Linked DNA regions of Saccharomyces cerevisiae S288C. Changing the gene in region 4 together with the main gene of any one other region gives a genetic interaction. Each region holds a gene or a part of one and is shown on either strand. Other genes may lie near its edges. The genes, in order: ALG5, OCA2, BRE2 and GAB1.

Region 1 (3,122 bases), on a different chromosome or scaffold from region 4:
CATCGGTTAAAACTGGAACTGCATCTTTGAAAGTAAGTTCCAATAAATCGTTCGCCGAATCTTCTCTTATTCTATCTACAACGCTTAGAGCGGCCATTTTAGCTTGCCATTTGGCACCAGATGATAAGTAATCCAAAATCGTAGGCAGTACAAAACAGGTTAAAGCCTCCATTGGAAAGCAATTCAACAAAGAATCAATGGCATGTTGCGCGGCACGTTTGACTGTATTCTCTTTATCTGAAATACAGTCAAGTGCGACATTGAAGAATGGTAGCAAGTATGCTTCCTGTGGTGGCTTTCCACTGAAAAATTGAGCAATGTTGGAAATTATTAGCATGGCAGATTCTCTAACTAATGATGGATTCTTAGGTTTGATGAATTTAGATAGAACATCGACGATTTTCCACTCTTCAATTTTCTCACCCGTACTGTTACCTTCTTTGCCAAATTCTTCAATGATTAGTTTGATTTGATTTTTGCAATCAGTGATACTTTGACATTCAGGTATCTTTGACAAAAATTGAGAGATGGGTGTTAACTCTAAGTTCGACAGCTTTTCATTCAAAGAGGTCAAAGATGTAGTAGAAGCAGATGGAGTTGGAGTTCCACTTTGGTTGGGCGTCACAGCCGATTGTTTGTAAGTAGATTTTTGATAGCCCTGGCCATTGTATTTATTATAGTTATTGTAGTTGTTATAATTGTTGTAGTTGTTGTAGTTGTTGTAATTGTTGTAATTACTGTTATACGATTGGTAACCACCTTGTTGGTAGTTGCCCCCCTGTTTCCAATTACGCTGTTGTTGGTAGCTACTTTTTTTGGAAGCGTTATTACTACCGGCATCAGCAGCAGGGTTTTTAAAATAACCACCGAAGGGAGAAGCGACTAGATTTGGGTCCTTTGGTTGGTCGTCAAGGAAAGAGTTTAGATCCTTAAACTTCTTTGGAGGCATCCTGAGTTGAATTAGCACTGATTGTCGTTGTATTTACAGTTTACAAGATATAAATTATGCACTATAGATCGACGCATATGTATTATCTTAAATAGGTTGCAATATATTATTATTTTTTAACATTTATTGCGATGCTGCTGAAAATTTTTTTTCCACCTTGAAACTTTTCTTTTTCCATTGAAAAATTAGATGTGGTGTTTGGGTTTATTCCATTTGATCTTGTAACTTCTATACTAGTCACAACTAACAAGTCCAAAGTCAAGTGTACATAGTTATCCTATTTTCACCGTTATCACTTCAGTACCTTTTAATTTATATATATTAATGCACATGGCTCTGTTGTATCTTTCGAAGCAGTGTATGCCATTTTTTTCATGAGAAAGCGAAATTTGGCGTATTCGAAAAAAAGTGTAAACAAGAAGAAAACGTGCCAATTTTCAAGGCTTTATCGCAATTAAAGTGGCACAAAGGACCATAGTCACTGTGGAAAGGTAGTGGTATCTAATTGGATGCTGTAAGGATAGATTAGGTGCTTTTGATAACGTAAGAAAGGGACAAAAACAGAGAGGCAGCCAAAAATTACACAAAGCACAACAAAAATGAGAGCGTTGAGATTCCTGATTGAGAACAGAAACACTGTCTTTTTTACGCTCTTAGTAGCCTTGGTGCTTTCACTGTATTTATTGGTCTATTTATTTTCGCATACACCAAGGCCGCCATATCCAGAGGAGCTCAAATACATAGCTATTGATGAAAAAGGTCATGAAGTTAGTCGTGCCTTACCTAACTTGAATGAACACCAAGATGACGAAGAAATATTTTTATCTGTTGTTATCCCAAGCTATAATGAGACAGGTAGAATTTTACTAATGTTGACAGACGCAATCAGCTTTTTAAAGGAAAAATATGGTTCCAGATGGGAGATTGTCATAGTGGATGATGGTTCCACAGATAATACCACACAATACTGTTTGAAAATTTGTAAAGAACAGTTCAAATTGAACTACGAACAATTCAGAATCATCAAGTTTTCTCAAAACAGAGGCAAAGGTGGCGCAGTGAGACAAGGTTTTTTACATATTAGAGGTAAGTATGGTCTTTTTGCCGATGCTGATGGTGCTAGTAAGTTCAGTGATGTAGAAAAACTAATAGATGCTATTAGCAAAATTGAAACGTCTAGTACAGATCTAAAAACGACTAAACCAGCAGTAGCAATTGGTTCCAGAGCACATATGGTAAATACCGAAGCCGTCATAAAGAGATCAATGATAAGAAACTGCTTGATGTACGGTTTCCATACCTTAGTTTTCATCTTCGGCATCAGGTCTATCAAAGACACACAATGTGGATTCAAATTGTTCAACAGAGCCGCTATATTGAAAATTTTTCCGTATTTGCATACAGAGGGTTGGATCTTTGACGTTGAAATTTTGATCTTAGCCATCAGAAAAAGAATCCAAATTGAGGAGATACCAATTTCCTGGCATGAGGTTGATGGCTCTAAGATGGCTTTAGCTATTGATAGTATCAAAATGGCGAAAGACTTGGTTATTATAAGAATGGCCTATTTATTAGGGATATATAGAGATAATAAGAAATGTTAGAGTAATTATTTTTATGTTATTATTATCATTATTATTATTATTACATAAGCTTTCATAACAGCATTTGAGTAAACAAAAAAAATTTCTCGCTCAAGGGCATTTGCTTATTTTTTTTTGAAATGATTCAAATATTACATGACTTTCTTTGAACCTTCAAAAATTTCATATGATAAAGACGATAACTTTCTTCTAATAATTGTACCATTATTCAGAAACGTTCTAATAAGAGATGCATATTCTTTACTATCGTTCGTTATGTTATCAAAGGCGTTTAACAGTGCAGGCGTGTTGATTTCTAGTTCCACTTCGTGAGTGGTCTCTGATTGTCTACTTTTTGAATTTTGGTTATGATTTTCGACTTTTGTAATATCAATTCTGGTACAGGAATCATTATGAATGTAACTAACACGGTCTTTCGTCCTTTCACTAATTGGGCTTTGAGATTTATATTTTTCTGGCGGATCGTTGTCAGGTACAGGTAATTCCAAGTTTAGGGAGATTTTAACGTCGTAACTATCTTTTGGTGAATATAATAGTAGTTGGGCTACATGTCTTTTCTCTATAAATTG
Region 2 (2,784 bases), on a different chromosome or scaffold from region 4:
ATGATTACTGGTGCGTTAGAACCGTATGGCCTTGAAAAGAATAAAAGCAAACATCGATTTTTTTGGTACTGAATTACACAATTTTTAAGGACTAAAAAAAAAAATGTTTAACCTGAACAACCATGTATCTTAGATGTCAGGGTATCTAGATTATTTCTCTACCATTCAGGACATCATCCAAAAACATCGATGGCGCCTGTCTTTTATGAGCCTTTTTAGGAGAGCTAGTATTTGAGGTAGCAGAAGCGACTGGTATGAGGCCCAAGGAGGATTGGTTTCTCTTATGGTAGCCTTCCATTGAGTTAATTTTCTTTTCCTTTCTTTCAGGTGACGCTGCTCTTTGTGGTCTATTGAGGTTCAGCTTTCTCTCTTCTTCTTCTTCTTCTTCTTCTTCTAGATAGGTACCTACGTATAAAAATGGATCGTCAATAAAAATGTTAGTGTCTTTTGATTGATGGCGGCTATGACTTTTTTCATATTGTGACACTTGTAAAGTAGGAGATATAAATAAGGATCTTCTGTTGTCTGTGAACGGATCCTGAATTGGGTTGAATGGTGAGGCAGCATCCTCGTATTGGCTAGATTCTAATTGGCTCATAGAATCCCAATCATCCTGCATATATGATTTCTCATCATTGATGTCAAAGGGATTGCTTTGTAAAGAAGAACTATGCTTGTGGTGTCCCCTGTACAAATTTTTACTATCATTTGCATAAGAATTTGTCATTGTGAAACGACGAGACAAATAACTGGACACTAACCACCATATAAGAATACTGATAAAAATGGCACCTATGACAGCACCCACAGCAATGTATACAGTTCCATTTGGTTTATCAGCAGCATTTAAAATAAATGGGTTTCCTGCTGTAGATGGGGGTGTTATACTTGCGACAATTAGTGATGAGGAGGATGTTGCTCCACTGGAAGTTGAGAAAGCCGAAGATGTTAACGATGGAAGGGACTTGGAACTCGTTTCGGACACTACACTTGACGTGGGCTTTGACAGGGCGGTTGAACTAGTTGTAGTAGTAACTAAAGTAGGAAGGTCTCTTCTGACCAGCGATACAGACGGGATAAAGTTTTTCTTAACCATCTCTGCCGATGTTTCTTTCTGAACTTTTGACAAGGTATGAGTCTAGTTGATTATAATACAAGAGTGTGGGTATGTTATTAATAAACATTATAAATTATTAACCCATATAGCTGCTAAATATAATTGAAAATCTAGTAATTTCTAATTATACATTTTTTTTTTTTACAAATGTTTTATGATATGTTTACTATTTCCCGCTTTAGGAAATCATATTAAGGGTTTCATGAAAGAATTCTGCAGAGTGATCATTGGAAATCGGCAGAAAGTGAGAAGGGAGGCTGTCACCAGGTTCCCCTATACTATTCATGTGAGTGGTAGCATGCAAAGTAAAGACCCTTTTTCATTTAGTGATTCATCCATGAATAGCTCTTGGTGCTAGCCCAGATTTTTCAGTAATTTTTGTTTTTTCTTCTGAATTTTCCAGAATTAAAAAAAAGATCAGAAAAAAGCGAGAGTTTACTTAAGATATTAAAGTCTAGTTGATATATCAACAAGTGAAGGCAAAATACCAATAGAGTGCACGTTTCTTGATGCTATGAAATACATACCCCCATTAAATTTTTCGCCAGTGGTGAGCACGGATGTATCGTTATATCGATCGGGATACCCGATGCCGTTAAATTATAGTTTCATCAAGCATCAGTTACACTTGAAGACCATAATATATATTGGCGATAAAGATAGGCCTCTCGAAGAATATCAAAGCTTCCTGGAGTCAGAAAAGATAAAATACTATCACATATTTATGGATTCAAGCCGCGATGAAGGAATTCAAGAAAGAATGAACCAGGTCTTGCACTTGGTGCTGGATGTCAGAAACTATCCCATCTTAGTGCATTCCAATAAGGGCAAGCACCGTGTTGGTGTAGTTGTGGGAATCATAAGAAAGTTGTTACAGGGATGGTCCACTGCAGGTATATGCCAAGAGTACGGGTTATTTTCTGGTGGGATGAAAGATGGAGTAGATTTGGAGTTTATCACAATGTTCGAAACCAATCTGAAAATACCGAGAAACGTTATCCCTGGCTTTGCTAAACACTGCTTGTATTTGAATGAGCTAGAGGCTGCGGAAGGAAGTGATGATGAGTCAGGAAGTGAGTCTATTCTCACTGCCAAGCAACCAATATGATTATGAGAACCAGCCGTTACAAAGAATATTTTCTGTCATTAATATATTTGTATAAATAAAACAACAAGTCTAAAGATCAAGTAGAAAAATGGAAACAAGAACGAGCACATATATGGTATATAGTGAACATATATATATTAGATATATACGTTCAAGCGTCGAAGGACAAAGACCAACCTAGCTTGTGAACAGGTTCAGACAACTTCAAAGCATCGAAAGAGGAACCGACACCCAGAGTGACGCCAGGTCTTAACAATTGCTTGTAAGCCAAAGTGACAATACCGGAATCGGACACCTTAGCCTTAACTTGGGAAGATGCATCAGGCAAATATCTAGTGGCGAATTCGATGTTGACATTGGAGTTAGGTAGTTTGCAGTTCATTGTAGCCTTAGCACCGACCTGTAAAAAGGCGTTGACGTTTTGGAAGAAGTCAACGGTAGTTATTTGCTCGTTGTTCAATGTAGCGCCCAAGGAGTAGTCTTTGGCGAAATAACTTAAAGCCATGGCATAACGAGAAATGGAACCGGCGCTGATATCGTAACCAAACTCTGCGCCACC
Region 3 (3,631 bases), 880 kb from region 4:
AAATAAAGATGCAATATATTTAGTAGCGCGTCTCTTATATGTCGCGACAGTAGTAATATCTGACTTAAGTACCTGCGTAGCATGGCCAATAGCAAATATAATGTTTAAAAAAAAATAAGGTATGTGAAATTTTGTCGGTAGTTCAACTATCGGACGCATGTTGACTTTTTGAGATGTCTCCCAAGTGTCATACCATGGAACATCCACGGAAGAGCATACGTCAATCTTCTCAGTAACGTTCTCCCTTTTTGGTTCAGTATGCGCACTAAAAGCACTGGTAATTGGAATTTCGAACGCGCTATTTATGCCTGTCTGATCAGATGCCAATGCAATATTGGGATTCCAGGGACCATAAATAGGTTCAAAGTATTTTTTCAGGAAAAGTTCTCTATGCAGCAAAGGTAACTGGGAATTAGTATCTACAAAAAACCTGGATATCATAACTTCAGCGGCATGTCGAGGTGGTAGTTCCAATGGATCAAAGTGTGGATTGTTTTCAGCCTCTGCATATCCATTGTATTTCTGTTCCCTTTGTTTAATATCTTCATCCAGAACGTCATCTCCGGAATCTTGACGAAAATTAGTTGCCGTGAAGACTAATTTCGCAAAGGAAATACCCGATGAATCTCCTAAAAAAGAGTTAAAACTACTTTCTCTCATCGTGCCCAGCGCACTGATCTCCTTATTACATCGGCGTAGCTCTTCCGCTCTTGCATCTGAAGTCATAGGGCTGCCTGTCTCGGGTAATAAAGCGCTACCATCTTGTTTTTTTGAGTTTACCAGAAATTCCTTGCGTTGTACATTTATAGTCTGTGGGCTTGCCATAGACTTGCTCGTTATAGCTGAGGATGCCATAGAATTCCCTTTCTGAACCAAATAATCCGCCAATAAGCCATTATGTGGCAATATTCCCTCTTCTCCCAAAGATGAAACTGAACTGTACTTTTTCAAATCAAAAGGTTCATCATCACTTGTAGCAGGTATATTTCCTCGTATTTTCGTGGGATCTACTCCATATTCTTTCAACACACGCATCATGACAGCCAATCTATCTTCCAGAAAAAAGACGTAAGATCTTGGAACGTCCTTTCCGGTGGCTGGGTCCAAAGAAACACATGGTACCTCTAATTTTGCACACCTCTTACAGCTAGGAAACTCCTGATCACATTTAATTTTTTTCAATCGACATCGTTTACATGCAGTTCTAGATTTGGAAATTCCTATATTAGGAGAATCTCCTCTTTTTGATAAATCTGTTCTATTACTTTTTTTGGAGTTAAATTTTTTCTGCTTCATGATTTAATCATCATCTTCGTATGTTTTATGTACTCTAAAGGGTTACTCCTGTGCGAATAAAGCAAACCACTTTACGTTACTAAAATTTTTCACATTTGGTATTGTGAGTATTTTATGAAGCTCATCGCGGTAAAAGAAAAAAATAGAGAATCTGTGATTATAGTTTAAAAAGGATGTAGACAAAGGATATCAGCGATAAAGGTGGCCATAATTGGACGAAGACAAATAATTCACTTCCTTAATAATGAAGTTGGGTATTATACCTTACCAGGAAGGTACTGATATTGTTTACAAGAATGCTCTCCAGGGTCAGCAAGAAGGGAAGAGACCTAATTTACCACAGATGGAAGCAACGCACCAAATCAAGTCATCGGTTCAGGGTACAAGTTATGAGTTTGTCCGCACAGAAGATATTCCATTGAATCGAAGACATTTTGTGTACAGACCGTGTTCCGCAAATCCCTTTTTCACTATTTTGGGGTATGGCTGTACAGAATACCCATTTGACCACTCTGGAATGAGCGTCATGGACAGATCTGAAGGGTTGTCAATTAGTCGAGATGGAAATGATCTGGTAAGTGTCCCGGATCAATACGGTTGGAGAACTGCAAGAAGCGATGTGTGTATTAAAGAAGGAATGACGTATTGGGAAGTGGAGGTAATTCGTGGAGGAAACAAGAAATTCGCAGACGGTGTTAATAATAAGGAAAATGCTGATGATTCAGTAGACGAAGTACAAAGTGGCATATACGAAAAAATGCACAAACAAGTGAATGACACCCCGCATCTACGATTTGGAGTTTGCAGAAGAGAGGCCAGTTTAGAGGCTCCCGTAGGGTTTGATGTGTACGGGTATGGTATTAGAGACATTTCGTTAGAATCTATCCACGAAGGAAAATTGAATTGCGTCCTAGAAAATGGTTCGCCATTGAAAGAGGGTGATAAAATCGGATTTCTACTGAGTCTTCCTAGCATTCATACACAAATCAAACAAGCTAAGGAGTTTACCAAAAGAAGAATTTTTGCACTGAACTCCCATATGGATACGATGAATGAACCATGGAGAGAAGATGCTGAGAATGGGCCTTCAAGGAAAAAATTAAAACAAGAGACAACGAACAAAGAATTTCAAAGGGCGCTATTAGAAGATATTGAATATAACGACGTCGTCCGCGATCAAATCGCCATCAGGTATAAGAACCAGTTGTTCTTTGAGGCAACGGACTATGTAAAGACAACGAAACCGGAATATTATTCTTCTGATAAGAGGGAAAGGCAAGACTATTACCAGTTAGAGGATTCATATCTTGCTATCTTTCAAAATGGTAAGTACCTAGGCAAAGCATTTGAAAATTTAAAGCCGTTGTTACCACCGTTCAGTGAGTTACAATACAATGAAAAGTTCTATCTTGGATATTGGCAACATGGTGAAGCTCGTGATGAGTCCAATGATAAAAACACAACCAGTGCCAAAAAGAAAAAGCAGCAACAAAAGAAAAAGAAGGGATTGATACTCAGAAACAAATACGTAAATAATAACAAACTGGGTTACTATCCAACAATCAGCTGTTTTAACGGTGGAACAGCGAGGATAATTAGTGAAGAAGATAAATTGGAGTACCTCGATCAAATCCGATCAGCTTACTGTGTTGACGGGAATTCAAAAGTTAACACACTGGATACATTGTACAAAGAACAGATAGCTGAAGACATAGTATGGGATATAATCGATGAGTTGGAGCAAATTGCCCTACAGCAATAAAGCAGCATTCAAAGAAGAATAATTAAAACACACTGAAAGTGTGTTTCTTATATATGGTTATACATTCATGAAGATGAGTTCGTAATCGTTATCTTCTTCAAATTCTGAAAGTGTAAGGACGTCACCACTTCGTAGCTCTATATATCTCGCTCCAGGAATTACAACGTTGTTCAAACATGTCCCATTGGACGAATCCAAATCCATTACATAACATTTCAAAATGCCACGAACGTTCCTGAACTGGATGACGCAGTGCTGCTTTGAGGATGTTTCTTCGGGTATACCAATGTCTGCGACAACGATCTCCGTTCTATCGTCGAGATCTGTATCCAGACTGTGGCCCAGTTCACGACCGACTAAATAACAGCTCCTGCCGTTCAAATCGTATCTTTTCCACGGTCCTTTATCCTTGTCATTCTTTCTGTATATCACTAGTTCATACATAGTCCTATCTCGCGCCTCCAGTCCTAGCATATCCATGTAGTTATCTGGAGAAATAGCGTCCTGCGGCTCCACATGTTTTAAAGCTATACCTTCTTTGTTATTCGACTCCAGCTCTAACAGACCGGAAGG
Region 4 (3,642 bases):
AAAGTGAATTGAATCAAGTGAGCGCTACTATCAATGGTATTGCTGATATTGTGAACCCTAATAGTGAAGAATCTACTTATTATAGGCGGTTGTTATTAACAGTCAATCCAGACGCAGATATTTTTATACTAGGAGAAGATACAGCCATAATAAAGGTAAATATACAAAAAATAAAAGTCTCTGACATGGAAAATAATACTTCTACATACGGCCAAACAGTACAACCAGTTTAACGGAAATATGATGAAAACTATGTGTACTCTAATTATTATATAAAGCATCTATAAAATGAATCATGAGGATTAGGCCGTGATCTTCGCGCTCCATATATGGAGAATACTTTTAATTTCACAGGAGAAATTAAGATAAATAACTTGAAAAGTCCACTGAGATTGGTGAAAGTGTTTCATCCTCTTTTTCAGTTTCCCTTGAACGATAGGGTGGAGTGGGACAGGCGGGAGATATGTTTTCCTGTAACGGCTGCATCTCTGGTATATTTCCATCCCGATTATATGTTTTCATGGGGCTGGAAGTGAATAATGAATTCGTTCTTCTTATTGGAGACGGGGAAAGATCAATTTTCAAGGGCTTAATCTCATCGTTTTCTCTAGCTAGATTAGACATGGTTCTCCTAGATTTGGTGTATGATGGATGAATGTTTGAAGAATCTAGTAAATCCTCCAAAATCCTGTACTTCTCATTTGAGTAATTCAATGCTTCTTGTAATGATTGTAGCTTGCTTTCCAAGGCTTTTATTTTCTCATCTCTTTTCTTAATTTGCCGCTGTAGAAGAATTTCTCTATCTAAGTATAATGATTGATTTCTATCTTTTCCACTCGACCCGTCAGAACTACCACTTCTTAGTTCACTGATCCGTTGCTTATTGTATTTCAACTCCGATATCTTTCTCTTAAAGGCATCACTCCTTAGGATCCTAGATTTGGCTGTATCTGTGTCCATATAAGAAGGTCTTCCCTGGGATCTCTTCTTCAAAATTCTAGTCATGTCGCCACAAACATTTTGCATCTTGCTCATATTTTCATTATCATTGGAAAAAACATCTCTGATTGTCTGGAATATCTTTGTTAACCTTCGTTTGGGTGTTTTCCTCCTGTTAGTACGAATTTTTTCTTCAGTTTTCCTATCTGTCACCTTTCTAGGTCTTTTTAGAACGCTTTTACCCGTAGGACGCATCTGCTTTCTTCTGCTCCTTAAGGCAGATCGTTTTCTCACTTCATCAAGGGACCCGTATTCTCGTTTCCTGCCATCATCTCGTATTCCAAAAAAATCTTTCCACAGTCCCTGTACGGATTTTAGCATATTACCAATGTCTATTATTGTACCTTTCTCTTCAGAGTATCTACTTGTTCATGTTCAGCAATAATTTCATAATTGTTGATGCGCGCATCGTTTCTATACTATGACGCGTCACGAATTGTGCTAGAGTGGCCTCTAATGAAAGTATAAGAGGCGTTGGCGAAGGTCAAGGATAGACCATTGGCTGTTTCGGATGAGTTATTTTTAAAGTGTAAAGGTATAACATCAAATGAATGAAAATTAACATTGATCTCAGCTCTCAATTTCTTTCCTCATTTGTTTTCGATGTTTCTATATGAGTATACATTAAACAAGTAAATCTCAAGCTCTTGTCAAAACAGTTATTTCCAACATATCTATCTGCATTATTGGTAGCATAATTCTCAAAGGAAGCTAAAACATCCTTCTTAAAGACGTCTATTGGCAAACGATATGTTACGTATTCCGGGTAAAACAAATATTCCATTAAGTGAAATGACCTTTGTTTTCAAAACTAACCAGTTTTAGAACAGTAATTCATATAAACAACGTGATCTTATATGAAAAACTCACCAAAAGGAGACCAATGGATTCCACAGCACTTAAGGTAGCTCTAGGCTGTATTGCAATTCGTTTGGCTGTGAACAGCCTTTTTCCCTCTCTACAACAACAACTGGACCAGTCTGTAGAATTCTCAACTCCCGTAACTTCATTTAGGTCACTACAGGAAGGTATATACCTACTGCGGAACAACATCCAAGTATATAATCATGGGGTTGTTCACCATCCTCCAATTTTGATTTTTTTTCTTTCCCTCTTTAATTCCGACAGGTTAATTTCCCTCATATACGCTTTAATTGATGGATTAATTGCGTATCAGCTGACAGAGGTAACAAAGGCTTTCAAAAACTTGAAACTGAAAGTTTGGCTACCTGGACTTCTTTATGCCGTGAATCCTTTGACCCTTTTATCGTGCATTAGTCGGTCATCAATCATATTCACAAATTTTGCTATTTCATCGTCATTGTATTGCATATTAGCTGAAGGAAACGTTCTTTTGTCCTCTGTTATGATTTCTATATCTGGATATTTGTCAGTATACCCTATTCTCCTCTTAATTCCGCTATTAGGTATGCTGAAAAGTTGGAGGCAAAGAATATTATCTGCCATTGTTTCCATACTATCTTTATTAATTCTGCTATTATTCAGCTACAGTATATTAGGCAGCCAAAGTTGGTCATTTTTGACACAGGTTTATGGATCTATTATAACCTTTGAGAAGGTTTTTCCAAATCTGGGTTTGTGGTGGTACTTCTTCATTGAAATGTTTGACACCTTCATACCGTTCTTCAAGGCTGTATTCAACATTTTTATTGCAGTATTCATTACACCATTTACTTTGCGCTATCATAAGCAGCCATTCTACGCATTCATTTTATGCATTGGGTGGATTGTCCTTACAAAGCCATATCCCTCACTAGGTGACGCTGGTTTTTTCTTCAGCTTCCTACCTTTCTTCACGCCACTATTTGGATATTTAAGATACCCCATCATATCAGCATTACTGTTTTTACACGCAATTGTTTTGGCGCCAATTTTCTATCATCTTTGGGTTGTTTTAGGTTCAGGGAATAGTAATTTTTTCTATGCTATTTCCCTAGTTTATGCTCTGGCTATAGCATCTATATTAGTTGACTTGAACTGGGCGATGCTGAGAATTGAATACGATAACGGTATCCCAAATTTCAAATTGAAGGTAACACAAATTTAACTACTTCCCGTCTATAAACGTACATAAACTAGAATAAAAAGAACCATACAGATGTTCATCGTAAGAGTGGATAAAGCGAATATGAGAGCCATATTGGTTATTCCAGAGGCTATCTATTTTTTAAGAGAAACTGCTTGGTTAAAATTTGCATAATATTGTCTCGGAGAGAAAAGATAGAACTCAGAAGGACCTAATTAATCATGAGCGTTATAATACGAAGAATTGAGATAGAGTGTATGATCTGCGGATTAAGCTCCTACATAATAACAACATTGTACTTGGGACTATGCCAATTTCTTTCCCACCAAAAGTCGTATGAAAAAGGTTATCTTCGCTAGGGCTTCCATTAGGTGAAAGCCAATATATTATCATAGAATAGCACGGCATAAATATATATTTTGTGCTGTCTTTTTGGGAAGGGTAGTTTGACAACCCATGTACATTAACATAAAAAGAGCTTTATCATTAACGGACGAAGAAAGAATGTGTATCGCGTATTTTTAGACTATCGATAATCTTTTTTAAAGTTATGGTAGATAGAAGATGGAATCAGTTACGAAGTGATGAGTTCCCAT

What was found.
Region 1: mutations in GAB1 (region 4) and ALG5 together harm fitness more than expected from each alone (negative genetic interaction), as found in Saccharomyces cerevisiae (2 studies listed by BioGRID).
Region 2: mutations in GAB1 (region 4) and OCA2 together harm fitness more than expected from each alone (negative genetic interaction), as found in Saccharomyces cerevisiae (2 studies listed by BioGRID).
Region 3: mutations in GAB1 (region 4) and BRE2 together harm fitness more than expected from each alone (negative genetic interaction), as found in Saccharomyces cerevisiae (2 studies listed by BioGRID).

What each region holds. Positions count from the first base shown.
Region 1 is NC_001148.4:119,594-122,715, reverse strand, and holds ALG5 (dolichyl-phosphate beta-glucosyltransferase), read left to right. Parts: upstream 1-1,548; coding exon 1,549-2,553; downstream 2,554-3,122. Other genes in the region: NEW1 (New1p), read right to left, coding at 1-949; CET1 (polynucleotide 5'-phosphatase), read right to left, coding at 2,685-3,122. UniProt on the Saccharomyces cerevisiae protein: Endoplasmic reticulum membrane-bound UDP-glucose:dolichyl-phosphate glucosyltransferase involved in protein N-linked glycosylation.
Region 2 is NC_001146.8:515,618-518,401, forward strand, and holds OCA2 (Oca2p), read left to right. Parts: upstream 1-1,631; coding exon 1,632-2,225; downstream 2,226-2,784. Other genes in the region: YNL058C (uncharacterized protein), read right to left, coding at 146-1,096; porin POR1, read right to left, coding at 2,377-2,784. UniProt on the Saccharomyces cerevisiae protein: Required for normal growth in the presence of linoleic acid hydroperoxide (LoaOOH).
Region 3 is NC_001144.5:173,687-177,317, forward strand, and holds BRE2 (Bre2p), read left to right. Parts: upstream 1-1,540; coding exon 1,541-3,058; downstream 3,059-3,631. Other genes in the region: PPR1 (Ppr1p), read right to left, coding at 1-1,296; PML1 (Pml1p), read right to left, coding at 3,116-3,631. UniProt on the Saccharomyces cerevisiae protein: Component of the Set1C/COMPASS complex that specifically mono-, di- and trimethylates histone H3 to form H3K4me1/2/3, which subsequently plays a role in telomere length maintenance and transcription elongation regulation.
Region 4 is NC_001144.5:1,055,452-1,059,093, forward strand, and holds GAB1 (GPI-anchor transamidase subunit GAB1), read left to right. Parts: upstream 1-1,882; coding exon 1,883-3,067; downstream 3,068-3,642. Other genes in the region: YLR456W (pyridoxal 5'-phosphate synthase), read left to right, coding at 1-233; NBP1 (Nbp1p), read right to left, coding at 361-1,320. UniProt on the Saccharomyces cerevisiae protein: Component of the GPI transamidase complex. May be involved in the recognition of either the GPI attachment signal or the lipid portion of GPI.